Linked DNA regions of Astyanax mexicanus. The protein of the gene in region 2 purifies or fractionates together with the protein of the main gene of each other region. This does not show direct contact. Links are inferred from orthologs where the notes say so. Each region holds a gene or a part of one and is shown on either strand. Other genes may lie near its edges. The genes, in order: psme4b, psmb3, psme1 and fbxo7.

What was found.
Region 1: the proteins of psmb3 (region 2) and psme4b purify together in Homo sapiens (affinity purification with mass spectrometry; 3 studies listed by BioGRID and IntAct, counting the BioPlex papers as one, with this or other methods). This does not show direct contact. The link is inferred for Astyanax mexicanus from reciprocal best matches to the Homo sapiens genes PSMB3 and PSME4.
Region 3: the proteins of psmb3 (region 2) and psme1 purify together in Homo sapiens (affinity purification with mass spectrometry; 4 studies listed by BioGRID and IntAct, counting the BioPlex papers as one, with this or other methods). This does not show direct contact. The link is inferred for Astyanax mexicanus from reciprocal best matches to the Homo sapiens genes PSMB3 and PSME1.
Region 4: the proteins of psmb3 (region 2) and fbxo7 purify together in Homo sapiens (affinity purification with mass spectrometry; 4 studies listed by BioGRID and IntAct, counting the BioPlex papers as one, with this or other methods). This does not show direct contact. The link is inferred for Astyanax mexicanus from reciprocal best matches to the Homo sapiens genes PSMB3 and FBXO7.

Annotation. Positions count from the first base shown.
Region 1 is NC_064422.1:31,571,862-31,579,967, forward strand, and holds the start of psme4b (proteasome activator complex subunit 4B), read right to left. Parts: upstream 3,108-8,106; 5' UTR 2,779-3,107; coding exon 2,582-2,778; intron 948-2,581; coding exon 807-947; intron 709-806; coding exon 592-708; intron 196-591; coding exon 142-195; intron 1-141. UniProt on the Homo sapiens protein: Associated component of the proteasome that specifically recognizes acetylated histones and promotes ATP- and ubiquitin-independent degradation of core histones during spermatogenesis and DNA damage response.
Region 2 is NC_064412.1:56,741,410-56,749,768, reverse strand, and holds the start of psmb3 (proteasome subunit beta type-3), read right to left. Parts: upstream 3,237-8,359; 5' UTR 3,079-3,236; coding exon 3,076-3,078; intron 1,596-3,075; coding exon 1,411-1,595; intron 1,211-1,410; coding exon 1,103-1,210; intron 459-1,102; coding exon 281-458; intron 192-280; coding exon 97-191; intron 1-96. Other genes in the region: si:ch73-193c12.2 (putative uncharacterized protein DDB_G0271982), read left to right, coding at 4,140-4,224, 5,434-5,527, 5,621-5,708, 6,546-7,112. UniProt on the Homo sapiens protein: Non-catalytic component of the 20S core proteasome complex involved in the proteolytic degradation of most intracellular proteins. This complex plays numerous essential roles within the cell by associating with different regulatory particles.
Region 3 is NC_064413.1:749,348-757,584, reverse strand, and holds the start of psme1 (proteasome activator complex subunit 1), read left to right. Parts: upstream 1-4,990; 5' UTR 4,991-5,145; coding exon 5,146-5,184; intron 5,185-6,391; coding exon 6,392-6,424; intron 6,425-6,535; coding exon 6,536-6,598; intron 6,599-6,785; coding exon 6,786-6,887; intron 6,888-7,054; coding exon 7,055-7,106; intron 7,107-7,908; coding exon 7,909-8,009; intron 8,010-8,237. Other genes in the region: transcriptional regulator ATRX, read left to right, coding at 1,839-3,227. UniProt on the Homo sapiens protein: Implicated in immunoproteasome assembly and required for efficient antigen processing. The PA28 activator complex enhances the generation of class I binding peptides by altering the cleavage pattern of the proteasome.
Region 4 is NC_064409.1:44,922,071-44,929,930, forward strand, and holds the start of fbxo7 (F-box only protein 7), read left to right. Parts: upstream 1-4,671; 5' UTR 4,672-4,769; intron 4,770-6,851; 5' UTR 6,852-6,852; coding exon 6,853-6,974; intron 6,975-7,165; coding exon 7,166-7,409; intron 7,410-7,860. Other genes in the region: uncharacterized protein LOC125798983, read left to right, coding at 1,666-1,977, 2,146-2,997. UniProt on the Homo sapiens protein: Substrate recognition component of a SCF (SKP1-CUL1-F-box protein) E3 ubiquitin-protein ligase complex which mediates the ubiquitination and subsequent proteasomal degradation of target proteins and plays a role in several biological processes such as cell cycle, cell proliferation, or maintenance of chromosome stability.

The DNA.
Region 1 (8,106 bases), on a different chromosome or scaffold from region 2:
AAGCTGTGTTGCGGACCAGCAGTGGATTTTGAATTCGGTTTAATTTCAGATGCATGCAATTAATACCAGAAGCTGCCCTATAAAGAGTACAATACAAGTAAGTAGAGTACAATACATGTAAAAAACACTGGCTATGCTTACCGCTTGCGAACATAATTAAGCATTTTTTGTTTAGGGGAGGCTTCTGCTCGACAACTAAATGTGAGAAAAGGAAAGACGCATAAGCCAACACTAAACACATCAACTGAGATCTTACACAGTAATTACAATTTAATGGGTTCTTCTAAAAATAGCTGCTGTATTTTATGTGAGGCTAATTTAATAAGGTGGTACTAAGAAGAATTATAATTTCTTAGAATGGCCAAGACTGAAATTCAGCATACTTAAACATCCACAAACTGAACTTTAAAGACGTAAACAGAGAATTCAGAAGCTCTTCCTTTTCCATAAACACAGTCTTAAGACTAGGACTGCCTACTACCAGTGTGTGTGCATCCCAAACATAAACATCTGGCACAAGGTGCAATGTTAATATTTAAAAAAAGACAAAGTTCCATTGGCATTTGTGAAGACCTTAAGTAAGAAACCTACTTTGGAAACCAGTTGAGACCAAGATGTTCGGTTTTTGAGTAAAGGATCTTCTCATAGAGCTCGTACAAGGGTCTCCAAGGCAACTCCAAGTCATCCTGTGACAGCAACTCTTTTTTCCTAGAAATGGCATAAGAAAGCATGTTCAATAACGTGGGCCTTTATTTCAAAATTACATTTTCTTCTCAGTATTGTAAAACTAGTTTAAAGCTGCGTACTTGAGTAAATTGATGAGGAGTCGAGCAAAGCTCTGCATCATGCTGATTTCCAGCTTAGGGATGGTGACCAGCTCGTACAAGAGCTTAATGAAGAGCACATGGTCTTCCTTACTGAACTTTCTGCCATAGAGACGAAGATACCTGCCAGTGATATACAGAAAAAATTATCAAAGAGAGAAAGCAGAGTTCATAAACACATCAGTAACCAGCACAAATATAGGTGACTCTAAACTTGTGAATGGACAGATGTTATGTAGCTACAGTGGTCATGTGATGCACAAAAAAAGAAAAAAATGCAGTGGGGTAATGTTATGTTGTATCAGGAAAAGAGTGTAGCAATGTCTAAAAAAAATATAGTAAAACACAACAAGTACAGTTGTTTTCCACTGAAAAACGTAGGACACACAGCTGTCTTTTGTCTGTCAAAACAACTGACAGCATCTAGAGTCAAAACATGACAATATAGCTAACCTAACCTATATTGTTTTGAGTAGAAATGTGTGTAGCAGTGTTCTGTAAATGACCGAACGTACAGTAAATTGTAAAAACACAAAATAAACACGTTTTCAACACAAACTGCAGATTGTTAGAGGCCAGACAGAGAGCTAGCTCACACTAGGTTATCTAAGAGTATTGTTGTTTTGCAGTGTCATGATATGTCAGGTCATGAAGTGGGAGCTGAAAACTATCAGCTAGCTATAGTTAGCTAACCACAAGCTAAATCACACAAATTCCTTAATGACAAGCTTAAACAAAAGCTTTTGACCATATAACTGCTAGGTAGGGTAAAATATAGTTTATGCTTCCCTGTTTCCCCACTTTTCTAGCTATATTATTAGCCCATACTACTGTTAGCTGGTCTTTAACAAAGACGGTCAGTGAGCAGCTTCTGGAATTAGCCACAACTTGCTGAGTTATCGTTAGCTAGCTTGCCACCGGTTGCAAGTCAACAAGATAAGCTAGCTTTAATGCTAAAGCGACGCACAGCTATCCTATAATGTTAGTTTAACTTAGCTAACCTGGCTATACACCGCTTACTTATCGTTAGCTAGCTTAACTAGCGCTAAGCTAACTAAGCAAATGAGTGACTCAGAACTTGCTAACTCATCTGGCTAGCGAACCACCGGTTGCAAGTCAACAAGCTAGGGTAAGTTACAAGCTAAACGCTAAAGCGAAACACACATCTAACAGATAATATTAACTAGATAAGAACTGGTTCGCTAACGTTACTTTTAGGGCCATATTTAGCTAAGCTAACAAGCTATCTGCACTGTAGGTTTATCTAGTTAATTACCTAACTAACATAAAAAACTCGAATAAAATTACTAACATAGCTAAAGCTTGCTAACTAACTATTTAGAAACAGAAAACCTAACTATATGCACTGTCGGTTCATTTACACACAAACAAACCGATAAAATTAATAACTTAGCTAACGTAGCTACACATAGATACGCTAAGCTAACTAGCGTTAGCTAGCCCTAGCCATCTAAGCAAATGAGTGACTTAGAACTTGCTAACTCATCTAGCTTCCTTAGTATAACACAGCCGTAGCGTTAGCTAGCTAGCTAGCTTAGATAGCTATAACCTAGCAGGCCCAGCCATTCAGCTTATTTGGGTTAGCTATATAGCATTAGCTAGCTAGGCTAAGTTCAGCTTATTGCCGGTTAAACCCTGAAGTGTGTGTGGTGTATTTGCTGAAGGGAACATAGCTAAATAACACTAACTACTAACTTAACATTTTTATTTCGACGTCTAAAAGCAGCTATACTCACGTCGAGAGTTTTCTCGTCCAGAAGAGAACTCCGGGCCACAGCTCCCTGAGATGGACAGCCCGAGCCAAGTTCCCCTTGATGCTGGCCAAAATGATATTAGACTCATTGTCTAGTTTGTCTGCATAAGGAAGGAGTTTGTTGTAGACAATGTCTTTCTGAGGGACAAAACCTAAGGTGTCCTCCTGGTCCTTTTTCATATTACACTCCCCCAATAGCTGGATCCTCTCCTGGACTTGTTTGCTGTAGTATCTATCCTCTTAGTCCTTGACAAGTTCCCCTGACAAATCTTTTATTGACACATCCGAGACTCCCCGTCTGTCGTCCCGAGAACTCGACTCGTTTATTGTCGACACGATCTCTCAAGCACGTGGACGAAAGTTGCTCATTCGCTCCTTCTGACACGCGTAACATTAGCCTGGGTCACCCACATATAGCTAGGAGTCTCCCTTCACTTTCCTGGACACACACATAGCTAACGAACTGGACACACAACTGGCGGTGGGTAGCATAGCAGAGCCTCCCTCCCTGCACATATGCTGCACATACACAGAGGGCGCCCCTCTCGGTGCCTTTCCGCCACTTCATCTAGTTATTAAACGTGGATGAAATGTGGGCATGGATCAGTGCAGGCAGTCATTACATTAGCATCAGTAGTGACTGACAATAGAGACAAAATAGAAACAAGAAATGATTATATATGAAGCAGTGTGTTTTTTTTTCTCTCCTTTCACTTTAATCAACAAAATTGTTGCTAATCCTCCAACAATCACACAATCACAATCACATAGGGATCATACCTGCCTGGATCTGATAAATCTGCAAAGCTGTTTTTTTGTAGTTATTTAACATTAAAACATTAAAGGGTGTGCAATCCACATAAACATGTGACTATGACTATATATTTATACTATAATACTTTTAGCTATTAAATGAAAACATCTTAGAACCATTTCCTATGAGCCTGTAGATCATGTGATGGAAAATGTGAAGTCAAAATAAATAATCAAAATCAACTACAATAATTGACAAACTGATAATTTTTCCCTTTTCCTATACAGCGTATTCACTAGGGGTGTCACGATTCTCTAAATCCTCGATTCGATTTCATTTTCGATTTGAGGGTCACGATTCGATTCGATTCTCGATTTTCTTGTTTTTTTTTCTTGTTATTATTTTATGCCTCATAAAATTTAAATAATATATTTATTATTATTATTATTATTATTATAAATATTATAAATATTATTATTATTATTTATTAAGATATATATGGTAATGCCATCTAGTGACTTTTTTTGGTAGCAACAGTGTGCACTATTAAAATAAGCAGTTTATCAGAGCTGTGTGTGGATGGCTGGTGAAACTGCTCATTACATGAAGCTGCAGTTCTTCATCCAACCACTAGCAGCAGCAGCACAAGCCCCGCTCTTTTCACTCAGTCACTACTTCAGTACAGCCCAGCCACGGGCTACAGAGCTCAGCCAGTCCGTTTTTACTGTTTCTGTAAACAAATAAAGGTTTTAACCCCACTAACCGGATAATACAGCTCACTACAGTTCATCTTTCAGCCCAAGCAGCTAACAGCAGCAGGTTAGAACAGCCGACACGGAGGCACTGCTCGGAATACATTATAAACAGGTCAGTTAGCGCGCTGCTAACCTCAGGATGTTTATAACTACGGAGTTTAGTGGACACACCACAGCCGCCAGGTAAGTCTTTTAAAGGCTACTGAAGACTATTAAAGGCTATTAGAGTGTAACCCCTGGCTCCCAGGGGTTACAAGAGGTTATTGAAAGCATTATTGGGGGGCAGAAATCAGTACAGGCTGGTTAGATAAGTGATGTGGGTATTGTCTTATAAATATTTACACATAACTTATATCTCTCCTGAAAAGCTTTTATTTTAGTCAGAAACACGCTTGTGTTTACTTTATCTGAGAGAAAGATGTTTTTTTAATTCAATGGAAAGCAACAGGTGTAGTCAATTATAAGTTTAAGATTTTTAATCCACCTCACTGTGATCTATAGTCAGTGTTCTCAAGTCACACTGACACACGCATTTCAGCGAGTTCACACGCTCTCACCTGCGCGCACCCACCCCTCCGTTAGATACAGATACAAAACCTGCGCGCCCAACCCCCGCCCCCCCCTCCCCCGTTGGACAGATAAAAACAGTGATCACACTCCCGCCGACTGCGCTCATGCAGTGGCTATCTCTATTTAAATGAATAGGATGCGCTGTGTTGGTGCCGCGCCATTTGCGTAGCGCGCTGCGCTATTTGCGTAGCGCGCGCGGGAGGGATCGTCGATCCTCTTTTTGACTTCGATACTCGAGATCGTGACCTCATTTCGATTCGATTTCGATAAAATATCGAGATCGTGACACCCCTAGTATTCACACAGTTTAAATGGTTTATCAGTGCCGATGGCATAATGAGATCACTTCAATCCTCTTTGCTCTTTCTTTATTCAGTGACCCAGTGCAGTGATATTGTTCCAACACTAATGTAGTCAGGATGTGTAGCTAAGTCACTGCATAGTTAGTTGCCTGGTTGAGGTTACGTTCTTAACTTGTGGAGTTAAGAACATTCTTAGCTTCCTTAGTTAAAGTAGTGAAGGTCTAATATAGAGTTCACAAATCTCGTGAACCAAAAAGGGCCAGTGTGAATGCAGTATTTAATTCCAGAAACACACCAGACACCTGTTGAAAGGTCTCAGTCTATAAACATTTGATAAGTTATATGAAGCCAGATCCTGAATGAAAACCTAATGTTTGCATCAAATCAGACTGGTCTACCACAAAACAGCAAGCAGCATGGCATCCTCAGTGGTTCAGTATCAGTGGGTGACACCAAAACCCACTTTTTCTGTGCCAGGCCAAATCACCTCAGACTAATCAAACTCCAAACACAAGTTTCTGCTGGGAACCACATAAACAAACACACAGACACACACCTTTTACCTGGAGCTAGGCCAGATATCTAGTCTAATCTCATCAAGCTCACATCCTGCATCCCTTACAGCCAATCAGAAAATGTCACATTGTCCTGGCCGGCCAATTGCATGCGCTGACCTGTTCTTAGCCAACCAAACCAACCTCTTTGCCCGGAGGGTCAATTAGTTCTAGGAAAGCAGATTTATCCTCTTAGATCATAGGTATTTTTAATGAGATCCTGGATTAACCAGCCTCTCGCTAGCTTCTCAAAGACAGGCCACTTCAGTTGCAGCAGTTGTACCACAGGATATGCAGGTGGCCCTATAGCTCAAATCATTTATATATTTTTAAATCCCAAATGAAGTTCATGAAACAATGCTTTTCAACTACCAGATATAGATTTACTAACTATTCCTGCCGTTTGTCTAATAATGCAATTCTGCAAGCTCAGTATAATTCATTATTTCTATATCTTATCAGCTGTTATATTTGTGCCAATTTATAAAGTGTGCCCTCAATCTGTGCAGATAGGCAGGAAACAGCTCCTTGACCAGGAGACACACACTGTCACCATAAATCACATTAGAGGACATTTTTAGTAAATCCCCACTGACCCAGCAGGATGAGGCCACGTTCTCCTTCTCCTTCAGCTTCTACTAACAACTGAGACATGATTGCCCTCTTCAGGACAAATCAGAAAACTCCTGGAAAAGTGTTCACCTGGAACAGAGATAAAATACTGTAAGCAGTACTGGGAAAGTTACTGGGAAATGTGGAAATTCAGTATACAGATACTAATCTTTCCACAGTGTGTATTTACCCTTACATCACTGCTTACACTAGCAGCAGAAAGTAGATAAATAAAACATTGCTGTTTGATTAGAAAATTATGCAACTCATCTAAAAGATGGCCATAAAGTAGATTTACCCTTATGGTTTTGACAATAACTACTCATATTTTATTTTGACATACACTATTCATATACATAGGAGAGGGAAACACATTATTTGAACATCAATTTTATGCCACAGATAACAAAACAAATATACAACCCCACATCAGGAAATATTTAAATAAAAACACAATGTGTCTAAAAAACTATAAATATAAAAGTATGTGATAAGATGCAACAGATTATTGTAGTCATGATTTGACACAAAAACAATATCCATTAAAAACAGCATCCATTTCCGTATACATAAGTGATTTAGTATATTACATAATAATGAAAATGTAAAAAGCATAATCTTACTAAATCCAACAGTGTTTTTCCGTAAGTATATTAGTGTGCAGTTGTTGTTCAGACTCATGCTTTTAATGCGTGCAACATATAATGCGTAAATTCTGTTTAAGCTGGTCTTTAATTCCAAAAGTTGATTCTCTGATTCCACTTATTTGGGAATTGACTTAACATATATGTGCTTATGCTTATTCACGTATATTCTGCTGTCACTATTTAGAGACCAGTAATTTAGCTTTTTTTCTCTCTTGAAATCCAGTCCTGTAGTCTTGCTGTATTTTATCTTAAAATCCCAGTCCCGCAGTCTGCCTATATTTTAAATGTGACTAACCAACAAACAGGATATCTAATTCTGAAACACATACTTACCTAAAATGTAGTTAGGCCCTGTTTAGCAAAGCTGCCTTACTATGGTAAATAGATACCAAACTTACATATAACCAAACTTAATAAACATAATATATATATATATATATATATATATATATATATATATATATATATATATATGTGTGTGTACATACATAGACAGTATATCAACATTTTTCTATGTACTTAATTAATAATTTATATTTTATTTTAACAAAATAAAATAAGTCACATTCTAAAATATCTGAAAATCCTAATACACCACTTTTTAAAGATGCCAAAGGCAGAAGTAAAAGATCATCACTGGACTGGTCAACACACTTGGAGGAGAACATTAACTGTCAGCTCTGATTTGTAATTTGTTGTAACATTTTGCCCCTAGAGTTTTGATAAAATGGATTAAACAGAGCTGGGAAGAATGACAGGCTACAGGGACATTAGTAAGGTCTGGAAATAAAATATATTAATAAAAAACAATATAGTGCACAATATTTTTTTTTCAGTAACAGTGTTCTGTTAGCAATACATTTTCTTGCAAGCTTCTTCCGGAAGTAAATGTTCTGTGACTGATTGACTGATTGAATATGGGACCGCAATGTTTAGCTTTTACCCCAGCTTTCTGAAAGCACTCTACCTCTGTGTCTATTATTGGTCAGTAATGAAAGGCTGAGCGGTTCCAGCATGGCTGTTCCTTCATAATGCTTTAAGCAGAGGTGCTTGAGGCACATTTGTAAAAGGAATGGCAGTGAAAGTTGGTCCACAGGGATATCAGGGATAGCAGGCTGACATTTGATATTTAGTTGAGCTTAGTTTAGTTTGTGGTTGTGGAAAGACTGTGTTGTTTTCTGGGCAGTGACTTTCATGAGAGGTTACGGGAATTCCCTGCTGCGGATTTGCAGCCTCCGTTTGGACAAATGATGACTATTTGATCCTGATTGGGCTGCAGGCAGTGTGGAGTACACTTGGTAAACTTTGATCAGC
Region 2 (8,359 bases):
TATAGTCCAATGCCTATTAAAGATTTGAAATCCACGCCAATGTAAAGGAAGCGTAAAAGTATGTGAGGCGAAATATTAAAGGAAGGCTGTACTCACATGACGTGGACTATAACTCCCATACCAGAAACTGCATCTCTATCTACAGCATTCAGCATTGCCTGTGAGATGGTTTCAAACAGGTCATCTGGCTCCTAAACGAAAGTATTATTAGAGAGCATATTAATACAGAGTAGAAATTTAATATTACCAATAATCAGTCATACTGAAAAGCTTCTCTCACCATATCAGGTTCCCACAGCGACTCGCACATGCCGTACATCTGCTCTGAGCACGTGCCGCTCACCACGAAGTCTTCTGTTACCATGGGGCATCCAATCAGGTCCAGTGAACAGATAAAGGGCTCTGAGGTTTTGGGGTCCAGACCAGCAATCACAGGCTCAATGTAGTAGGGTCCAAACCTAAAACAAGAAAAAGCATGTAGCTGAAGTACAACAAAGATTATATAAGACAGTAAAGCTGCAAATAATAAATATTATAGCAGTCGACTAATCTGGCGATTATTTTTTAGATTTTTTATCAATCCCTCTATGTTTCCTATCGGTGAGGCTCCAGATTAAATACATGCTTTACTGCATTTTTACAGCTAAACCTTCAGGATTCTAGACAGATTTAGCAGAACTCTAACCCTAACCTATATAAAATTACAAAGCATATTATAGGAGCCATTCACAAGGATAGGATGCTGCTATTTTTAAGAAATTCATCTTTGATATGTCTTCAATTGAGAAATAAATCTCAACAATTCAGATCTTTTTTTACATTTTATTTTAATTAATGTAAATTACCATAACAAGTCAATGTATTCTTTCTATATTATTTGATATATAATCCATATTATAGATTGCAGTATCTCCCTGTCTGCTTTCTCTCTGTCACTCCAAAGACAACAGAAGCTTATAATATGTGGGATTTAAACACTGAGAATATGTTTAAATGTATAATGAGCTGATGTACAGTGAAGATGGGTGTTGTCTTGTCCCTTATCTGGAGTGTTTACGTTTTTGAAGACACAGAGAATGAGCTGAGTATGTCTCACACTTACCTCCTCTCATACAGCAGGTTGGACACCATGCTCATGAAGGTCTTTGGCTTGATCTGCCGACCCTCCTTCAGCTCATATAGGTTAAGGCGGAATTTAAGTCGTTGAGATCTGAGGGGCAGGGGGAAGAAAGACAATAATAACATTACAGTGTTAATTCACATCAAATAACAAAAGGATAAAATTAAAAAAGGGTAATCATAGGGCCCAGCCTTTTCTCTTTACCCATATTCTAATCAACCAAAGCCTTGCAAACTCTTCACATGGGGCCTTGGGTGGGCACCTTATGCGTCCATTAATGCTAAACTTACACTGTCTGCACATCTGTGGCCAGTCCTGCCAGGCCGATGTAGAGTCTGTCACCCATGGGGAAGATCTTCTGAAAGTCAGTGGTGACCATCTGAGCCTGGATTCCGAACCTCCGGTCCGACGCAATCGCAACACAGTTCTTCCCACGCATCGCCATGACGGCCCCTCCGTTATACGACATAATAGACTGCAGGAGTAATAGATTGGATTTACAGTGAGTTACAGAAAACAACTGGTGGATATGCTCAGATTTATAACATATTATTGTACAAATAATATTTTATATAACTTCTGCAAAGTGCCACAATATTGTCCAGTTCACAGTAGAGCTGAAGTGTTTTGGGTTATTATATTCGCGGTAAGTCAAATGTTTTTTTGTTTATTATGTTGATCATCATCATCATCATTATTATTCTGCACTGAAATGCTTGTGGTGTCGCTTGAGGCTTAGCTTACCCTCAGCATATGCAGAATATTTTGTTATAAAAGAAAGCAGTTGGTGCTTTTTACAGATAAATTATTTAGAAACAATATATACACACACATTATACAATATATATACCTTCTAAGAAATTAAATTCTAAGAAAAGTGGGGAATGGAAGAAAAATAAATAAATAAATAAATGAATTATAATCTAATATAGTACATCACATATTCTTATGCCAGGGTTAATGACATTAGGTTACTCCAGCCTAAATCCATAAAAAAAACATGGGTTTCATATTTTTAGAACTTTTTAGAAAAGCCATTTAATAGGAGTGAGATTTTCTTCAGTTTAAATGAAGTGAAGGACATATTTTATACAAGAATATTGAAACAGAAAACTGACATTTTGCTGCAATCCATGGCACAAACGAGTAATCAGAAAATCAAATGATTCTACCACGATAAACAGACCACAGTAGTGCAAAATAAAAAAAGACTAGTTACATCTAAAGTTGCATTGGTGTTTAGCTCAATAATAAACCAGCAAAGTGTGCAAAATCTGTTCATTTGACGTTAACATCAATGCAACTTAGTTTTAGTCTTGCATCTTAAAACACAAACAGAATTAATTTTAATTTGGAAACTAGTTATATATTTTAGTTAGCTAAAACTAAATCTTCCTAACCTAAGTAGCTCAGCTATGGTTTTATTAAAAAAAAAATAGCTAGCTAACTAGATTTTCAGTTCAGAGAACTATAAAAAACTATGTGCTCTGTATTATTAGTATTATATTTTTTAATTTTAAATTTAATCAAATCTATGCATTAGCTAACTTTGGAGAAATTTAGCTAGCTTAGCTTAGCTAACAGCTAGCTTTAGCCGGTTACCCAAACATATAACTACATTTAGCGGCATATAGCTGATAGCTTAGCCAGTTCGGTTAACAGTTTCGTTTTCACAACAGTCATTAGAATGCTTTATTTTGGCTAGTTTAATGAAGTTAAAATTGCAATATTTATGCCGTTATAGTGGTTAAATATATAAAATATATTTATTATTAATACTGGAGTTATATTTGGACCGTTAAAATCCGTTAGAAGTGTCTCTATGTTAGCGATGAGCATGATACTGCAGGTTAGCATTAGCTGCTAATCTAAACTAAGCCACCCGGTTAACTGAGCCAGGCGGCCGGGTAGATTCTGCTGTTCTGTATAAAAGAAAGGCTAAATAATTCACTTACCATGCTGGCGCTGCTGAAGAAACACCCAAACTACAGAGAAAAACTGTTCATATACTTTAATAAACCGCAGATATTCTTATTAACGCTGTGATCCGCTCACACACAGTGACTACACACTTTCACCCAGCGCTCAGTCCCGCCTACCCGCTTACCTCACATCCGCTCTACTCACACCGCCCACTTACATATATATATATCTCTAAATTATCTTTATCATTTATATCATTAACTATATAATTTATATAATTATTTAATAATCTAAATTATCTAAATATTTGCATAATTACTCTAAATGATCTTTATAATTTACATAATTATATATATATATATAATTGATATAATTTTCTAATAATCTAAATGATCTCATTACTTACTTACTCTAAATAATCTTTGTAATTTAAATAATTATTTATATAATCTAAACTATCTAAGTTCTTACATAGTTACTCTAAATTATCTTCATTTATTACTCTGTAGGTAGAATACTGTATACATACTAGGGTTTAAAATACTTTTTGTAGAAGTTTGAAGAAGTATGAATCTAAGGATTTTACTCTTTAAGTAAAAGTATAAAAGTAATGGTTTCAAAACTGCTTAAAATACAAGAGTAAAATTAATGTAAGTATGAAAAAGCCATTAAGGGCTGTGTGGGCAGTGTGCCACATGGCTGGACAATAAATAGATATATAATATAAATATAAATATAAAATAAACCAGTTGTAAATCACTCAAATACCATTAGTCATTCAGACCTGACTTATGTTCTAGTGATGAAAATATTCAAGTGAAGAAAAATAGAACAATGCTATTTTCTGCCTGTAATGCACTCAAAAACAGGATTTAGTAAAAATAATAATAATAATAATAATTTTGGAGTTTTCATTGGCTGTAAGCCATAATAATCAACAGCAAAAGATTATATAGATGTACATTGTAAACTGAATTACTGTATTAAAGTAATTTTCAGTGAAAATGTAATAGTTTGAGATGCAGTACTGTGTATTTGAGCAGCTAGAGGGCGGTAATAGGAAAGCTGTGTGTTTCTGTTTCTGTAGAGAGATGGGATGAGGAACAGTAAAACAATAACAGAGGAGATGGAGAGCGAGGTGGAGGTAACGCTGGAACTCGGGCCGTTTGGAAACTTTAAATGTAAGTATTTTCTCAGCACTTCACTAATAATTCAGTAATAATCAGATTAAAGGCTGCGGGGTGATGGTTATATATGCAGCTGAAGGCAGTAACGTTAGTTTAGTACAGTAGTCAGAGTCAGTTCACTAGTTCATCTCCAGATAAAAGCTTTTAATGTATTATTTAATAAATTCAAACCTAAAATCTAAATTATAATGCCTTGTTTTACTTATTCTAATTTTCCTATACACCTTAACCTGTGTAGCAGATGCGTTCAGGGCCCTGTAGGCTCGACTGCATCTGCTGCTGCGCAGTTCATCAGCAAGGCTAGGCAATCTTAGGGACTTTTATTCTATAAGCATCACATAAAAAAAGTTTAATATTTGATACGAAACTTTACTAAAAATCCTGTAATTATAATAGAATCCTTTATATATTTATATTTATATAATCTTAAAATGTTGAATTATATCTGCACCTGTCAAGATATAATAAAAATCATAAAATTGGCCCTTTCCTAAACTTTTTTTTGTAAATTTTAAAATCAGTATTTTTCTCAATACGAATGAAACATTTTAGGTGGGCCACACTTTTCATTTCTTTAAAGTTATCTAGTTTTTATGTCGATTTTTAAACATGCAGAATTGTATGGAGGACAAAAAATGGCATAAGTATAAATAAATAAATAAATGCACAAATAAATTAATCAATAACTAAATATACAAATAAACAGATACCTGCATAAATAATTGTAGAGATAAATAAAAAAATAAATAAATACTTATTTTTATTTCTTTATATATTACGCATTTACTTGTTTATTCATTTATTTATTTCAACATTTATTTATTTGCTTATTATTTTTTACAATATTTTCTTCTTGAATTTATTTATTTCCACATTTCTTTCTTTATTTATTTCTGTATTTGTAAAAAAAAAAATATTATGTCAAGATATATAATTAATAAAAACAATAAAAACATGCATTATTAAAGGATATATCTGGTGTAAAATTGACTTGTGTTGTGAACTTTATAAAGAGGATGAACTTTTGCTGAATTGCTATTTTTACACCTTTAACAAGCTCAAAGTAGCTCTACACTGTCTGTCTGTATTTTTTTCCTGCCCTCCTGCCTTATTTTCCCGTGCCAGTGTCCATTGTCGATTCTTGTACGTATTTGCGTCAGTCATAGTTGCCATGAATGTTTCATTATTAAAGTCTGTTTTTAGGGACTGATGCCAACACAGCAGATCTTATTGTGTGGCGGGTCAGCAATAGGAACTTATTTACTGGCAAGAGGAACACGGCCCTGCGAGCTTTCGAGTGAGTCACTCTATAAATGTAAATGTAACTGTAATGGTCAGTTTTTCCAGTTTATTAATGTTTGAAATAAAATTTTTAATTCTGATTCTGAAGGCAGTTTGTCAGGGAAAAGGAGCTGGAGGGTAAGGTGGCGCCGACATGGGTGAAAAAGAAATGGGAGAATCTGAGACAGAAGTATAAGGTAAGTGTGGTATTAAACCTGGGAGGGGTGATCCTGTTGAGTGCTTCTCATTACTTAAAGTTTTCATTCCGGCTTCTAATTGTTTAGTAAAACTCCTATCCAGATAAATCTCTGCATCCAGATAGAGTGAATTTGATTGTGATTGGATGTAGAGAAGTAAAATAAACATATATTTAATGGCTTTTTTTATGTTTTCCCCTTACATGACTTTTACTTTTATACTTTAGGTAGTTTTAAAACCAGTACTTTTTTTAAACAACTTTACTTAAAGAGTAAAAAGCTTGAGTTGATACTTTTTAAACTTCTACAGAAATATTTTTTTAAACCTTAGTATATAAACATATAGGATTCAAGGAGACTTTATTGCAATTCACATCACATGTGGTACATGAGGTGGAACAAAATTCTAATCTCACGGTTCAGTTTAGACCCAAAGATCAATTTTTTAAATAGAAAAAAAAGAATAGAATAAAATAGATATAAAGAGAAATACAAAAATAGGGAGAGTAGGCAGGTAGTCCAGAGTGCAAGTTTGCTATAGCAGCATGATAGTGTGAATTATATATTGTATATATCTTTAACTTCCAATGTAAAAGGTTATATACCTTTCTAAAAACAACAATATTCTGCAGCATTACAGCGTTACAGTCTGATGTACATGCAGGGTGTAGTCAGGCATTTAGTACTATTTTACTACCTTAAAACTGGAAAATCTGTAATTTCACTGAAGAAAAACAAATTTTCTGCTGTGGACCAATTCAAACACTAGTTCTGATCTTCCCCACTGAATAAAAACCTATAACCTGAAACCTGAAATCTATACTCTTATTGTTACAGGACATCAAAAGCCTCTCCTCGTTTGGGGGAGACTCATCCGCTGCTCCATGGAAATGGTTTGCAATCATGGATCAGGCTCTGAGCGAAGAGATCCCGCTCACTCCTTCCATTCTGACCAGCCCCTCCACTGCCCCCTCCACCCCCTTCACCTCGGCTGTTCTGGTGTCCTCCTCGGCTCAAGAGTCTCCGCCCGTGAAGAGGAGGAGGGAGCAGTACTGGCTGATGGCTCTGCAGGAGCTGGAGAGGAGGCAGGAGGAGCGAGAGCGGCGAGAGGCTGAGAGAGAGGAGGAGAGGGAGAGGAGGGCGGCGGAGAGAGAGGATGAGCGCGAGAGGAGGGCGGTGGAGAGAGAGGAGGAGAGGGAGAAGCAGGCGCTGGCGAGAGAGAGGAGGAGAGAGCAGGAGATGACAGAGAAACAGGAGCGATGGGAGAGGGAGCTGCTGGCCAGAGAGGAGAGGAGGGAGAAGGAGTACAGAGAAAGAGAGGAACGGAGGGATAAAGAAGCTGCAGCGAGGGAAGACAGGCTCTTTAAACTGCTGGAGGCCTTTGTGGCTAAAAAGTCAGATTAATAGTGTTTCATCTTCACATCCAAGAACTGTTATCTTTCTACTAATAAATGTTGCCCTGTTTTTGTATCTTGTCGCCAATTTCTTTGCTGAAATGTTAAATTTTGGTTGTTGCATTGGTAGCAGCGCCGTCCGGTTTATGGGCCCTATCTTACACCCTGTGTAAGACGTGTTGCGACACTCATTGCTATCTTACACCCTGTAACACTGTATCTTCACATCTTGTTACCATAGCTTAAAAATAGTTCCAATCTATGCAGATGGGCGTGGCCGTCTGGAAATGAAGTGTGTTCAGGTAAATATCCGATGTTTTTCTATCTTGGCGACAGGAAATACAGGTGTGCCACAGACTGATTAAAACCCTTACAACAGTCACCAGTCAGCCACCCAAAAGTGTGCGTTGCTTGCACACGTTACACACACACACAGATGAGTAAAAAGTGTGACAAAAGTGAGTAAACCTTTCACTTTTTAATTTTTTTTTAATATTTTGTTATATCTTTTCATGGGACAACACTGAAGATATGATACTTTGATACAATGTAATCAGTGTACAGCTACAGTACAACAGTGTAAATTTGTTGTGCTCTCAAAATAGCTTAAAAGTGAGCACACCCCTAAGAGAAAATTTTGCCCAATTAGCCAATTTTTTTTTCCTCTTTGGTGTCACGTGACTCATTATTGTTACAAGGTCTCAGGTGTGAATGGGGAGCAGGTGTGTTAAATTTGGTGTTTTGGGTTCAGTTCTCTCATAGTGGTGACTGGATATACAAAATGGCATCTCATAGCAAAGAACTCTCTGCTGATGTGAAAAACAGAAATACTGGTCTACATAAAGGATGGCCTATAAAGCTATATGCTGTAGCTGTACACTGACTACTTTGCAGTGTATCCAAGTATCATATCTTCAGTGTTATTACATTAAAATATATAATAAAATATTTACAAAAATGTAAATATTAGAATTAAAAAGGCCCTGGTGTTGTTTTCATTATTTGTTTTATTATTGCACAAGTCCAACAAATAGCAGCACATTACAGTAAAGCAGACTCAGCGAAAACTGCGTATATGAAATCACACAAAAACTGACATATATATATATATCGACAATCTCTCAGTCCTCTCAGACACAGATTACTAATATTAATATGCTTTATTAATTAATATTATAATTATAGTTTCTTTCTTTATATATAGCTGTTATATATATAAAGTATAAAGTGTTTCCTCTTTGGCCTAGAGTACAAGAA
Region 3 (8,237 bases), on a different chromosome or scaffold from region 2:
ATGACAAATAACAACATCATGGCAACCACCTTACAACTCCCTGGCAACCACCAATCAACATAATTTTATGATAAATGCCTGAAATGCCTCACTGTAGAACCCAACTGTACAACCTAACATCACCAGAGCAATCACATGGGATGTCATAGTAACAATTTTTGGAAACCAAAGCAACCAACCTAGATACTATAGCAACACTATAGCATCCAAACAGTAAACTCTTATCAACCATTGCAATGGGAATTGTCTGGGAAACCACCTCAACCACTTAACATCATAGTAAATAGTAGTAGGAGTTATTTACTGATACTAATATTACAAACAGCATTCATTTATATACATATTAGCAGTGGCATTGTGGATTATATTATATAGTTCTTTAAAATTTATATACATTTTTTTTTAATCCTCAATTATATCTATTTGACAATGTGATATTTGTTTTGCATAAAATACAAGCAGTTAATTGTATTTTCACTTTTAAAGCTAAAATTTGGATCCACTTTTACAAAGAAGAAAATGTCATATGTATATATATATATATATATTAGTGACTCACAAAGTTAGTATGATGGAGACTTATTGGGGTGAGAGTGGGGTCTTATGTCACATGTGTCCCGTACAGAGTTTATCTGTGGATGAACGCTCATCACCTGCTCATCCTTATTACAGGAAACATTAAAACTCAACTCACGGCTGTATCAGTTTTACCTGATTTTATTAATGTACATTCATTTATTATTTTTTGATTTACTTTATTGTTAATTTATAAATGAATAAATTATATTAGTTAGTCTCAGATCTAACTTTTAGCAAAATTTTTCCTAAATATCTTATAATGTTATAAAGGAAATATCTTATAAAGTTTAGTCATGTTCCCACAATAAGATAAATACATGATTGAGCCGCTTAGTCTAATGGGTTAAATTGTTTTGTGTATATATATATATATATATATATATTTATTTCTTAGAATTTTCTTTTTCATTCCTGTTTTTTTGTACATGCTCTAATCTACTGATAATAGACGTCATAATAATAAATAATGTTTATTTATTTATTTATTTATTTTAACATGCTCGGCTCTATTGATAATGCGTGCCATAATAAAGGATAATGTAATGTTTTATTTATTTATTTATTTTTTAGAATTTTTCTTTTTAATTCCCTGTTTTTTTTTAAACATACTCGACTCGATTGATAATGCGGGTCATAATAACGACTGATTAATTGATTGTTGTGGTAAATAGTATCTTCTGTTTGGCTTCTTCCAGATGAGTCATGTCCCTTATAGGGTAAATGGGATCAGCTCAGTGAATCAGAGGGTGGTGATGTCATGCAGAAAGAGGGAAGGTCAGCAGCAGAATTCCTGTTGGGGGGCTGGACAGAGGGGAGGGGGGGGTCCTGTTTCAATGTTTCAGTGCCCTGTGTCAGAAAGACTGGGGTTGGGGGGGTTGGTTGTTTCTCTGTGTGAGTGTGAGGCAGGACTTCCTTATGGGCGTGGTGAGCTCATGTCTCGCATTCTTCTTCTCCAGCTCTGTGTTTCAACACCACCAACTGCAGAGAGAACTCCAGAAGCTCCAGACCAGGCGGGGCTGGACCAGCACCGGACCCAGTGTCCTGTTTCTGCTTTGCCCCCTTCTATAAATAAGCGGGGTGATGTAGGAAGGGGTGTTTTCTGACGCCACGGCCCAGGAATGGCTCCTGAGTGACGGGGGGAAGGAGGGAAGGAGGGAAGAAGCCCCCACAGCTCTCTCTCCATGACTGGGAGTATTTTTGGCCGTGTTGTCATCTCTCCGTAACACGGGCGTATATATAAAGGAGAGGCTGGAGGAAAAATGCATCTGTACAGCAGTGCCCTCACACACTACCCTCCTCTCTCTCAGAAAGTTCTGATAACTATCAGCACCAGCAGCGGCAGCAAGCCATCTGCCGAAGACTCCAGCTCTGCTAAAGCCGCTAACTTCCAGAACGCAGAGGAACCGTTGGCTGGAAACATGCCTGCCTTCGCCTGTTACGACACTGCTGCTTCCATGAGGCCGCATTTGTTCACATCCAGAGCTGAAATCATCATAACCCGGCCTGATGGAGTGGAGAGATCTGTTCCAATTCATCTAGTGAAGCAAGGGAGTCATCTAGACCTTCTGGGATCTACAACAGAGAATGGGTCTAGTAAAAAACCTGGATTGACCAATCATCATCAATCATCAACACGCGAGGATGTTTCAATATATGAGAGCTTGCCAGGAATTATTAGAAATATTTGCAGAGCATCTGAGTCTAAGGATGAAGAGGAACCAGTAGGCTTGTGTATCGCCATCAACGATGCGACGACTCAACAGCAACAGTCGTCACAAGGTTCTTCACAAAGTGTTGCGTCAAAAGACACAAGTAAAGAAGAAGAGGAAGATGAACAACAAGAACAAGAAGACAACGAAGAAGAATATGAAGAAGATGAAGAAGAAAAGTCGTTCTACCCAATCAAAAGCAAAGACTCAACCAGAGTTCCATTAGAGCGACAGCCAACCGAAGAGTACGAATACGACAAAGACCCAGTCTTCGAACTCAAGATTCTCCAAGATTCGCCCCCAACCGTGGTCAACAATAAGACCAGCAGCAGCAGCAGCAGCTCCAGCCTTAACGACAAAGTGAGCCAATACCTGGCAGAGGTGGACAAGCAGAACAAGTACCTCCAGGACAAGAGGAGGTACCGTTTCCACATCATCCCTGATGGAAACTGCCTTTACCGAGCAGTCTCTAAAGCCGTGTACGGAGACCAGTCCATGCACAAAGATCTCCGAGAGCAGACGCTCTACCACATCGCCGACCACCTCGATGAATTCAGCCCCATCATCGAAGGCGACGTGGGCGAGTTTTTGATCAACGCGGCGCAGGACGGGGCCTGGGCCGGATATCCCGAGCTTCTTGCCATGACTCAGATGCTGAATGTCAACATTTACCTGACCACTGGAGGCAGTCTGGAAAGCCCTACCGTGTCAACCATGACGCACTACCTGGGAGAAGAAGACCTGTCCAAACCAGCCATTTGGTTGAGTTGGCTGAGCAACGGACATTACGACGTGCTGCTGGACCAATGCCAGCCCAACCCCGAGTACGACGACTGGTACCGTCACACGCAGGTTCAGCGCAAACGCGATGAGGAACTGGCCAAATCCATGGCAGCGTCCCTGTCCAGAATGTACATTGAGCAGAATGGCCTTCACTAAAAGGAGCTGACCAGATACACAATGCACTGTTCCAATGATAGCATCTACTGTACTGTGCTCTTTATATACTTTATATACTGTATTTGTTTTGTTTTCTAAAAGGATTGCACTTCTGATTCCAAAATCCGTTTGGATTAAGTTGCCTTAATTTATTGTAGCTGTGTGTGTGTGTGTTTGTGTGTGTTTTTATATCAGTGTTTTTAAGTGCAGCGCACAAGACATGATGTGTAGAATGTGGAATTATGTGGAAGCCTGTTGGCTGGGTGTTTGTGTGTATGTGTAAATATGAGTGAAAGTACTGGGAAATTGTGATGGTGATTTATATATATCTATATATTTTTTTTCCAAACTTATTAAAAAAAGTTTATCCTGCTTCTATTGGAGTAACTGTTTCTATTGTGCAAAGAAAGCTTTCTACTACAGCTCTGGAAAAACATAAGAGACCACTCCAGTTTCTCTGATTTTACTATTTATAGGTTTATGTTTGAGTAAAATGAACATTGTTGTTTTATTCTATAAACTACAGACAACATTTCTCCCAAATTCCAAATAAAAATATTCTCATTTAGAGCATTTATTTACAGAAAATGAGAAATGACTGAAATAACAAAAAAGATGCAGAGCTTTCAGACCTCAAATAATGCAAAGAAAACAAGTTCATATTCAATATGTAAGTGAGTATAATAAATAAATAAAATAACCTTATTTCCAAAAGGCATTTCCAAGGACTGACTTTCAGCTGGATATTTTTGTTGGACCTGGCAACCCAGGCTCGGCTGCTCTCGCTAACCAGCAAGGTGAGGCTCAGCTGTATCTCCAAAACGCCTATGGTTTATTAAAGGTTGATGAAACGACATTGAAACAATGTTGTCCTTTCAACTGTGTTTTACTTTTCAAATTGAACACCAAATCCAACGTTGATTCAACCATAACATCAACGTTTCCAGCTGGCATTTCAACATTGAATAAATGCTGGAATTGATTTTAAAAAGTGAATTAACGTTGAAATAGCAGTTGTTTCAACGTTAAACGTTCAACCTTAATAAACCATCCCCGCTGGCATTTCAACGTTGAACAACCTTGATGTTATGGTTGAATCAAGGTTGGATTTGGTGTTGATTTTGAAAAGTGAATCGGCGTTGATATGACAACGTTGTTTCAACGTCATACGTTCAACCTTAGCTTACTAAAATGAGAAAATCCTATGGTGAACAGTGTTAACAATAAACTTAGATTACTGCAGTAAATACAGAGTATAAAGAAAGTTTATACCCACCACCACTACCAATCTAATTACTGAACATCTGACATCGAACATCAAAAACAGTAAAACACTAAAACAGTAAAACTATTAGAACATGAACATGGTGTTAAATAAATAAAAACAGTTACTGCAAATAGAAATAAAACACTTTTTAATTTCTCCATCCAAACGTTTTTAGAAATGAACGTTATATGGTGATGAAATGTAAAATGCTGATTTAAAAGGAAGAAGGTTGAGGACATTATATTGATTCAACATTAAAATTTCAATATTAGCACAACCATTTAACATTAAACGTTGATTCAACGTTGTTTCAACGCTGAAGCAACAACAGACATTACTTTAACCACATTTTAACGTTGATTCTAAGTAAAATTCCAGCTTGGTTTGTTTGGGTGCGCAGTTTGTTCGAAAAAGTTCAGACTTTAATTTTGTAATTTCAAATTAAGAGTCCGCTCTCCTCTCGCGGCTGGGATGGGAATTACTGATTAAATACAACTCGATTTAGTTTCACTTTCACCCTGTTCTCTCAGTCTCGCGCCTCGTCGTTTGATCGTCGAGGATAAATTATATTTTTACTAAATTTCACAGTCAGAGTTTCAGTAGTGAGCAGAATTTTACCTGTAGCTACACCTGAACTTTACCTGCACAGAAATGACTTCTATGGATATGAGCCCTGCGTCTAAGAAAGAGGTGAGCTGTGGATTTTGGTTAGTCACTGTAGGCCTGAAAACTCAGATACTCCATTTTTATTACAGCTCTTCTTTATACTGCATTACCTCTTATCTCCTATACTCCAGGCCTGCAAAATACTCTAGCTTTTCTTTATATAACAACAATAATACTTTTTACTTTTTATCTTTTCTTTTACTTATTTCTAAAAAAAAACACACACACACAATACAAACAGAGACGTCCAAGATACATTTATAAAACATGCAATCACGTTTTTTTAATGTATTTATAATAAAATCAGAGAACTATATTAAAAATATATATGTTTGCAGTAATATCTACCCATGTTCTTATAATCTCACTAAAATTATACACACACGTGGACAAAATTGTTGGTACCCCTGGGTTAATGAAGGAAAAACCCAGAATAGTCACTGAAATAATTCGAATCTGATCAAAGTAATATAATAAATAAAAAATTCTATGAAAATAAACCAATGAAAGTCCAATGTTGATTTTGAATAGAATGATTTAAATTAAAAAAATAAACTTTTAATTTATTAAATTATGTGACCAAAGGGACATGTTAAATCAAGGTGTGTCCACTGTAATTAGCTAAATATAGGGCTGATCTTGGAATCATGTTCTCCATGTTCACCAGTCTTACACACTGCCTTTGGATAACTTTAAATGTTCCATGACTTCTGTCCAGGCCTGTTTCATAAGTTATTTTTTTAAAGCATGGTTAAAACAGAATATCTGACTTTCATCTGTTCATTTTCATAGAATTTATATTTATTATTACTTTTATAAGATTCAAGTTGTTTCTGATACCTTTGTGGGTTTTTCTTTAATTAACCGAGGGGCACCAACAGTTGTGTGCACGTGTGTATGTAGATATAGGTCAGAACTGTTCATTTTTGCTCTAAACATCCAGAAAAAATAGAACATTTTTTTATTTTTTTAATGTTGTTAATCAGAATGTGTTTGGAAAGATCAAGCTAGTTTTTTTTTTCAGTAAAGCATAAGAATTACAGGGTCATTATAAAATGTAAAGATGTTATTTTTATTACTTTTAACTCTTTTTTTTTATTTCTGTACTGTCTCTTAACATTACTTTGAACTTCTCTACTTTAAATCTGATGATCCTCTGTAAGAACAATAACACAATATAACAGTATGACGTTCATGTTAGCATTTATTTAATTATTTATGTATTTTACAGGTTGATGGATTCACTAAGAAGTCCATTAAAGAGGTAAAGCGTTTTCTTGGTTTGTAGACTCTCCCAAATAAAAAAAATATATATATTTTTTTTTTCACAAGTATCTCAGTCTCAGACTCCTCTCATTTCTCCTCTCTGGCACAGGCAGAGCAGCTGGTCTCAAGTTTCTTCCCGCAGATGATTGCCAAGATGGACAACCTGTTGCAGGTAAAGTGTCTGGTTCTGATACTTTAGCTTCTGAAAGATTATGATATGATATCATAACTGCAGATAGAACTACAGATATATATATATATATATATATATATATATAAATATATATATATATATATATATATATATATATATATATATATATATATATATATATATATATATCTGTTATTGATTTTAGGCCTCCCTGGGTTCAGAGGACCTGTCTGCTCTCAGGGCTCCTCTGGACATCCCGATCCCGGACCCCGCCAAAGAGGAGCTGAAGAAGAAGAAGAAAAGTGAGGTAGAGTATTTATTTACATCCAGACCAGACATTAAAAATCTACCAGTTCCTCAGAGATACTGATGACCTCTCAGCGAATCACATTGCAGGGTCAGAACTAACTGTGGCATAATGGATGTTAATGGATATTGATAGATAAAGCATTGTAAGTTTTATCTTTCACACAGAAAGAAGGAAAGGATGGAAAGAAAGACAAAGGAGATAAAGAAGAGGAGGAAGGTAAAGTATATCTTGCTCTGATACTGGACACAGTTAAAGCTGCACTTACAACTCATTACATGTGATAAATTTCATCTTATATTTTTAAAATGAATGCAAATCCATACATCGACTTAAGCCCTATCTGGACAGGATTAGTTTCTAGTTTCTCAGGGGGTTCTGGGGTAATTTTCTCTTTTATGGGTTTTTCTATCCTCTGTGATTTTATTCCTGTCCAGAACGATCATGTAGGTGTTTTATTTCTCAGACGTCCTCTGAGAAAATTACAGGCTGAATTATCTACTGTTTGAACTCCGTGCTCCTCCGGTAATTTTAGTCCCGTCCGGACGCACATCTCTGAGTTTCGTCTCCTCGCCTTTAAAAAAATAGATATTTGTTCACTGCCGTGCACCGTAATTACACTTTGGGAGCCACGGTTTCTACAGAGATCCACGTTAAAAAAAAACACAACAGCGAGTGGAAATGGAGGACCGAGAAAAAAAACACTGATCCTCCTGTTTTTACAACTGCAGTCCGGCTCCAGGAGTTTTATCACTAAAGAGTAGAAGTGTGAAATATTTTTCACAGACGCCCCCTGAGAAACTAATCCTGTCAATAAGTATATATAACAATAAGTTATTATTGATAAGTGCCTTTATGCTGTTTTGAATGTAAAAACGTTGTCCAAATTAACAAATAAAATATCTGATATATAAGTTTTTATATAACTATTAAGAATAAGAGTGTTAGATTGTGTAGTGGTTATCTCTTATTGCACTCTTCATGCTCAAATGTTAACAGGATTGTTTTTTTATTGGTTTAGCTGGTCCTCTCTGTGGTCCGATTGCTGTTAATGAGAAAGTCGAGAGTCTCATCAAAGAAATTAAGCCTCACATTCAGACTCTGAAAGAAAATCTCAACACTGTAAGTGACTCTTCTCATTTATAGTATTAGGTATATAAGTATAATCTTAATATTATATATATATGAAGTTTGGGTGTTGTGTAAAAAATAAAAACGGACTACAATGATTTGCAAATCCTTTTCAACCTACAACTGTGTAAAAAATGAAGAGATCACTTCAGTTTCTGAATCAGTTTCTCTGATTTTGCTATTTATAGGTTTATGTTTGAGTAAAATGAACATTGTTGT
Region 4 (7,860 bases), on a different chromosome or scaffold from region 2:
TAGTCAGGACTAAGGTTGCCAGATAAGTTACGATTTTTCATCCTATTTGTTTATTTTATTTTAAGTTTTTAACTTACACAAATATTGCACTGGACGAGTTTTTGTATAGAATGGCCACATACACTTTAAAAATTGTTAAACATGCGCAAGATTTAGCGCCTCCATGCATTTTTGATTATTTATTTGACTGGGCAATGTGACATCTGGCAACAACCAACAGAGCAAACCGAGCCGTGCCATTTCAGGCAATAGGGGTGGGGGCATTATATTATGCACAAAAATAATAACGTGCCGCTTTTAAGTAGTAGAGTAGGTGCCCCATGCAATGTTTAAAGACAAAAAAGATGAGCGTATCATTAATAATTCACATTGGGTTTTAAATTTAATAATGTCATAATTTCAACACATTTCATTCTCAGTCAATTTGGCTCCCTGCAACTGCAAAATGGTTGAGGCCTAACGCTGGCTGCGTTGTCTGCGTATGCAGAGCGGCGGCCCTGATCGCAATACACGAGAAATATGTCTTTTCATATTTAATAAAAACAGCAGATTGCAGCATCTACTTGTGTTTATTATATGCCACAATCTAATAAACGATAGAATTTAACTTAGCATTATTAGAGACGTTTAAAGGACGGAAGACCATAAAAGACGTTTAAATATGTTTGTTTAAACATCGCATAATAGTCTTCTGAATGTTTATTGGTGGTCCTACAAACGTTCAATAAGAACGTCCCTTGCAACTTTTTGGCGAACCTTTTTTAGTTAGCTGGGAAAAGCATTTCTTTTGTTTTATTTAAATTTTATTTATTTATAGTTACACATAGTTAAAACTAAACTGTTGTCATGTGTGAAGTAAAACGCGTTACAGCAGTAGTGAGGAATTCAGCACAGTTTGTTGTTTATTTTTTATCAACTATAAAAATATTCAATCTATTTTTTTATTCTAATCAACATGGAAACGGATTTGTCCTCTTAAAGTTAAAAAGATTTGGAGCTTTTTTAAAAAAATAATAATAATTCAAATTAAAAAATAAAAAGATTCTTTAAAAAATCTAAACAAAATAAAAAATAGATATATTAAATTATGAAAAATACAAATAAACCGGATAGTTTTAGCAACCACAAAAAAATTAAACTTTAAAAAGCGAAAAAACATAGTTGGCATCAGTCTACTACGTTAAAAAACAACAATAAAAAAAACCTAAACCCCCCCCCCCCCCCACAAAATAATCAAATATTAAAAAAGCAAAATAAGAAGATTACATGAAAAATCATCCACAAAACAACTAAAAATAAAACAACTACCCGCAAAAAAAATCCTCAAAAAATAAATATTAAAAAACGACCAAAGTTTACATAAAAAACAACCATAAAAAAACACCCCCTCAAAAAAATAACCACATAAATATTTACATTTTAAAAACAAAAAAATAAAAGATTACAATAAAAAAAAAAGTTGGTAGATATTTTTAATCAGATTTTGGACTTGGATGTGTTTTTTTTTTATTGTTTGTTGGCTTATTGCTATTACTTTGGAACGTTCATGTCAATGACATCACAGTTTTACTGCTGTGGATATAAATATGACGTCACTGTTCAACACTATAAAAGGCTCAGCAGCACGAAAAACTTCAGTCGTCAACGGATCTTCGCAGCGACAACATGTGTGCAGTTCGAGGGATACTAGGAGCAGCCAGCCTTGCAGCTCTAGCTATAGCTGCCGGTGGATCGCTTTACTACCTGTACCGATCCAGAACACAGAAGCCGACGACAACGGAGGAGACTACGGTCACTCCAGTGGAAGGAGACCCTGAAACGGTGGAGGAGAGGCAGGCTGAGCCGATGGTTGAACCTGTACTCTCCGAGACTGTGATGGAGTTGGTGGAGGAAGATGGAGGAGTTGACTGCCCCAAGGAAGAAGATCAGGTCACTCTCATTATGGATGAGGCACCAGAAGCTCTCAGCCTGCTACAGGTCACTGACTCAACAGAGTCAGAGGAAGCTGAGGTGACCCTTAATACAGAGCTTTGTGAGAGTGTGGTGGAAACACTGGTGGAAGATGGAGGAGTTGACTGCCCACAAGAGGAAGATCAGACCACTCTCATCATGGATGAGGCACCAGAAGCTCTCAGCCTGCTACAGGTCACTGACTTAACAGAGTCAGAGGAAGCTGAGGTGACCCTTAATACAGAGTTTTGTGAGAGTGTGGTGGAAACACTGGAGGAAGATGGAGGAGTTGACTGCCCCAAGGAAGAAGATCAGGCCACTCTCATTATGGTTGAGGCACCAGAAGCTCTCAGCCTGCTACAGGTCACTGACTTAACAGAGTCAGAGGAAGCTGAGGTGACCCTTAATACAGAGCTTTGTGAGAGTGTGGTGGAAACACTGGAGGAAGATGGAGGAGTTGACTGCCCCAAGGAAGAAGATCAGGCCACTCTCATCATGGATGAGGCACCAGAAGCTCCCAGCCTGCTACAGGTCACTTATTTAACAGAGTCAGAGGAAGCTGAGGTGACCTTTAATACAGAGCTTTGTGAGAGTGTCGTGGAAACACTGGAGGAAGATGGAGGAGTTGACTGCCCACAAGAGGAAGATCAGGCCACTCTCATCATGGATGAGGCACCAGAAGCTCCCAGCCTGCTACAGGTCACTTATTTAACAGAGTCAGAGGAAGCTGAGGTGACCTTTAATACAGAGCTTTGTGAGAGTGTGGTGGAAACACTGGAGGAAGATGGAGGAGTTGACTGCCCACAAGAGGAAGATCAGGCCACTCTCATCATGGATGAGGCACCAGAAGCTCCCAGCCTGCTACTGGGCACTGACCCAGCAGAGACTAAGGAAGCCGAGACGGAGGCTGAATGCAGACCCGAAGCTGAATCCAAAAAGAAGCATAAGAGACGAGGGAGACGAGGAAGATCACAAAAACTACGAAGACTAGGAAGACTACGAAGACGAGGAAGACTAGGAAAACGAGGAAAGAGGCTGTATAAGTAGGACAGTGTAGGAATAAGTGGATTTGTGTCAACGCAAAATAGAAATAAATCTGCATAAATCAAAATTTACAGTGTAAGGGGTCTTTTTTAGGTCTTTTAGTCCTTTTGAAGTCTTGTATGTGAAGTACAGTAGCACACTCCAGAAAAGAATAAAAAAAACAACCTCAAAAATAATTAAATATGAGAAAACAAGCAAAAAAATATTACATAAAAAATCAACCACAAAAAAACAAACAAAAATACCCTTAAATAAAATAAATAAATAAATAAAAAAGGTTTACATAAAAAACAACCATAACAACCTGGCTGAAGCTGAGGTGATAGTGGAGCCTGTACTCTGCGCGATTGTGATGTAGTTGGTGGTGGAAGACGGAGGAGTTCACTGCCCCCAAAAGGAAGACCAGGCCACTCTCATTGTGGATGAGGCATCAGAAGCTGCCAAACACTGGTGGATGATGGAGGAGTTCACTGCCCTCAGGAAGATCAGGCCTCTCACATTATGGATGAGGCATCAAACGCTTCCAACCTGCTACTGGACACTGACCCAGCAGAGACAGAGGAAGGAAACTAAGGTAAAAGATGTAACTGCTACAGAAGCTGAGACAAAGGCTGATAATGAGCAACCAGGAGGTTGTTGGGGCGAAGGTGGGATGCAAACTTTTGTCACGAAAAGTAGGTAGTTAGAGCAGGTATTTATAGGGTGGTTTATTGATAAGAGGTGGAGTTAGAGCGTGGAGTTTGGGTGTGGTCCTTCTCCCAAACTTTTTTTTACATATCATTTATGGATATGAAATATCCATAGCAAGCAACAAGAAGTAACATCTTCAGAAGCACGTTTACAAAATTAGCGGTCAGTTTCCATATCACACTTATATTTTAAAAGAAAATCTTTAAAAGAAAATGTTATATATTAATTTCAGCCTAATTTCTCTCACTTTGTTAGAAATTAAATATTTTAAAGGTAAAGACCACACTATACACTCTACTATATAATACTATTCCAAAATGATATTACTTAAGGAATTGTAGCAATGTCTTTCTGAAATAATTCTCTTATCAGCTTATTATTTTGCTGGTGTTTAGCTGAAAGCATACAAGTGAGTGACAAGGAAAGTTTACACCTCTCAGCAGTAAATTTGCACCAACTGGTATAGCATTTATCACTGTAGAGTATTATCACTGTAGAGTACTTGTCAATTTTGTATTTATTAATTAGGTCAATATAACTGTATGGTCTACTATTTGATTCAAGTAGTTGACCAACTAAAATAAAATGATTCCAGTTTTCATAAAAAAGTGACTTGAGTGACATAAATTTATCCAAGAGCAGCGTGTAAGACTGGTGGAGGAAAACATGTCAAGATGCATGAAAACTGTGATCGAAAACCAGAGTTATTTGTTTTCTTTGCATTATTTGAGGTCTGAAATTCTGCTTTTTTATTTCAGCCATTTCTCATTTTTTTGCAAATAAATGCTCTAAATGACAATATTTTTATTTGGAATTTGGGAGAAATGTTGTCCGTAGGTTAAAGAATAAAACAACAATGTTCATTTTACTCAAACATATACCTATAAATAGCAAAATCAGAGAAACTAAATGGCTCTCTTTTATTTTTCCAGAGCTGAACGTCATTAAATATTGCTGACACATTGTCCACGTACGTCAACTCGACGCTGGACTTTTATTTTGAAAAACACCGGTTACTTACAAAACCAAAACCATCTCCGCCTGCAGGCTCTCAGCACAGTGACGTCTGTATCAACACACTTCAGGTAATGTTAACTAATGTTAGCGATACAGTAAATCTACCCGAGTAACAGAGTTTTAGGTCTATTCGGACAGAACGGCGCAATTTTAGCTAATCAATCTGCTGCAACTTCGACAAGCTAGTTAGTTAGCTTAGCTAAAAAACTGTTTATCGAGTGAACCCCCGCTGCTGTGTAAAGTGAATGTGACAGAATCATGTCAGTCTTTACAGAACGACAAGAATAACGCAGACCACACAGGACTTCAGATATAACAATGATAAAACATTGGTAAAAGAGAGCAAGGCTGCTGTATGTGTTGTGTGATACTCAGACAAATCCTAAGGAAAGCTCATCTCCACACGCCTAACGTTACTCCACTTTCTCAAATGAGCTAAGCTAGGGTTAGCTAGTTACATTGGCTAGCGTTACATAGTTAATTAATTCTACAGTATTTGTTTACTAGAAAACATTGAAACATCACATTGAATTCAAACAGCTAACATTTTATTGTCCTTGAGTTTAGTAGGACGTCCTGTGTCTCTTTGGGTACACCCCACCAACTTCACTCTTTTGAGTTCCATTATTTCCAAACCAAAACGTGTTAGACAAACAAAAAAATTCTTTGTGTAAGGGTCTTTTTATGTATACTGCATATGTGTTCATTAATGTCTTTTATATACAGTGCCCTCCACAAGTATACAGTTCAGTACACAGTTCAGAAGATAGCGTCTTCTGTTTGAACCCACACATTTTTCTTGTGAGCAAAAATATTGGAACAGATAAACTTAAAGTCAATTAAAGTGAAACATACTTAATGTTAGGTTGCAAATCATTCGCTTTCCAGGCAGTGGATTTTGGGTCATTATCTAGTTGCATAATGAAGGTTCTCCCAAACAGTTTGGTTTCATCTTTCTTTAAATTAACATTTTTCTGTAGACTTCTGATTTAATTGTACATCAATGAACAAGAATCATGACACTACTTCCACTGTGTTTTACAGATGAGCTGGTATGTTTGGAATCATGTTTAGATACTTTCTTTCTCCACACTAGCCTTCCATCACATTGGTAAAGGTTAATCGTTGTTTCATCAGTCCATAGGAGTGTCTTTGTACTGCTTGGTAAATAACAAATTAATAGTGGTTTGTATTATCTGGTGATGCCTAAATACTTTTGTTCACAAAGTCTTCGGTGAACAGTAAATTGTGATACCTTCACTTCCGCCCTCTGGAGGTTGTTGCTGATGTCACTAAAGGTTGTTTTAGAGGTTTTCTTTAAGTGGTTGTCTTTACAGCTCTCTAAATGTTTCCGTCAACTGCTGTGTTTTTTGCTTGTTCTACCTGTTTATCCTATGTTGTTTAGTACACCAGTGATGACTTCTTCTGCAGGAAAGTTGTCCTGGCTATGGATAATATTTATGCAATGTACCAGATCTAGATGTAAATACTTGGAAATAAAAGTTAAAATGTAGATTTTTTTCTCTCTAATCTTTTAGTGTCAAATTTAAATGTTTTCAGTCTACAGTCTTCAGTCTTGCACTTAGGGTGAATAAGGTTTAAGTGAGGCGATAATACATTTACAGTACCAGTCAAAAGTTTGGCCACACATTCTCATTAATTTTAAGGTGTATATTCTTATTAAAACATTAAAACAACTAAGAGACGCATATGGAATTACATGGTAAACAATAAAAGTGTTTGGCCTCACCTGACCTAAACCTAACTGAGATGATGATTTGGGATGAGCTGGAGAACAAAAGCAGCAACTATTGTTCAGCACCTCCAGAAACTCCTTCAAGATGCTTATAAAACGATTCCAGCTAACCCTGCCTCATAAATTCACTGATAATAACATAAAAAAACAAAGTGTGCAAATCTGTACTTAAAGCTAAATATGGATATTTAGGATATCTTAAGTATAAAACATATTCTGGTTTGTTTAACCATTTTTGTTTACAAAATAATTTCAGATGTTATAGAAAAGAAAGAAAACACATGTGTGTCCAAATGTTTGATTGGTACTGTGTAAGTGATTATATTGATAAAAAATGGTTATTGTCTTCTCAATTTAGCTGTCAATGACTTTAATGTAATTTTCCTTTGTACAGTATGAAGTTAAGGGTGAGAATTAACAAGCAGACCAGCCGTGTGGAGCTGGAAGAAGCAGAGCCCACACTGACTGAGCTCAGTATCCAAGTGAAGGAGGTGTTGTTGCCCTCAATCGGTTTCAGGTAAGTGCCTTTTATAGCCACAGTAAACATTTTCAATGTTTTTGTCTTTTAAATGGTAGATATACTGTTGATTGTGTGATATGACCAAAATGCATTGGCTGCTGAACGGAGTTTCATAAGGTCACAGTCATTTGCATAAGTGCTGAGTATAAAGCTCCTTTGATTCATGCACATGTTCATTCTTCATGCAGTGCTGATACAGAGTTCAGTCTGTCTCTGAATGGGAAGGAGTCGCTGGTGGACACTGGGCAGACGCTGTCCTCGTGTGGGGTGGTGTCCGGAGACATGATCAGTGTGATTTTGCCTCAGAGCATTGCTGACTCCGCCCCGCCACAGCCCTCTACTTCTCAGACTCACAACAGAGCAACAGATCAGCTGAACAAACAGCAGAGTCAGAGTCACACTGTATCAGCCATGCAAAGCTCCAGTCAAGTGGTGAGTACTGTTATCTGTCAGACAGATATGATCAAATCAAATCTGTGTAATGTTATTACATGTTCTGATATAGATTTGTCCACATTAAAGAGGCATTTAAACAATTGACAGATGTGGGTCAGGTTAAAGTGTTTCTAGATTTGAATCAAATATGTGGTTTGTGGAATCTGGTAAAACTTGGCACTTGACTATATGTAAATAATATATTTTATACTTTTTAAACTTTGAATGAGTAAAATATAATCATCTGTACAGTGTTAATGTAACCAAATTATGTGCAAAATTATACATACAGCTCTGGAACAATTAAGAGACCACTTCAGTTTCTGAATCAGTTTCTCTGATTTTGCTATTTATATGTATATGTTTGAGTAAAATGAACATTTCATTCTATAAACGACGGACAACATTTCTCCCAAATTCCAAATAAAAATATTGTCAATTTAGAGCA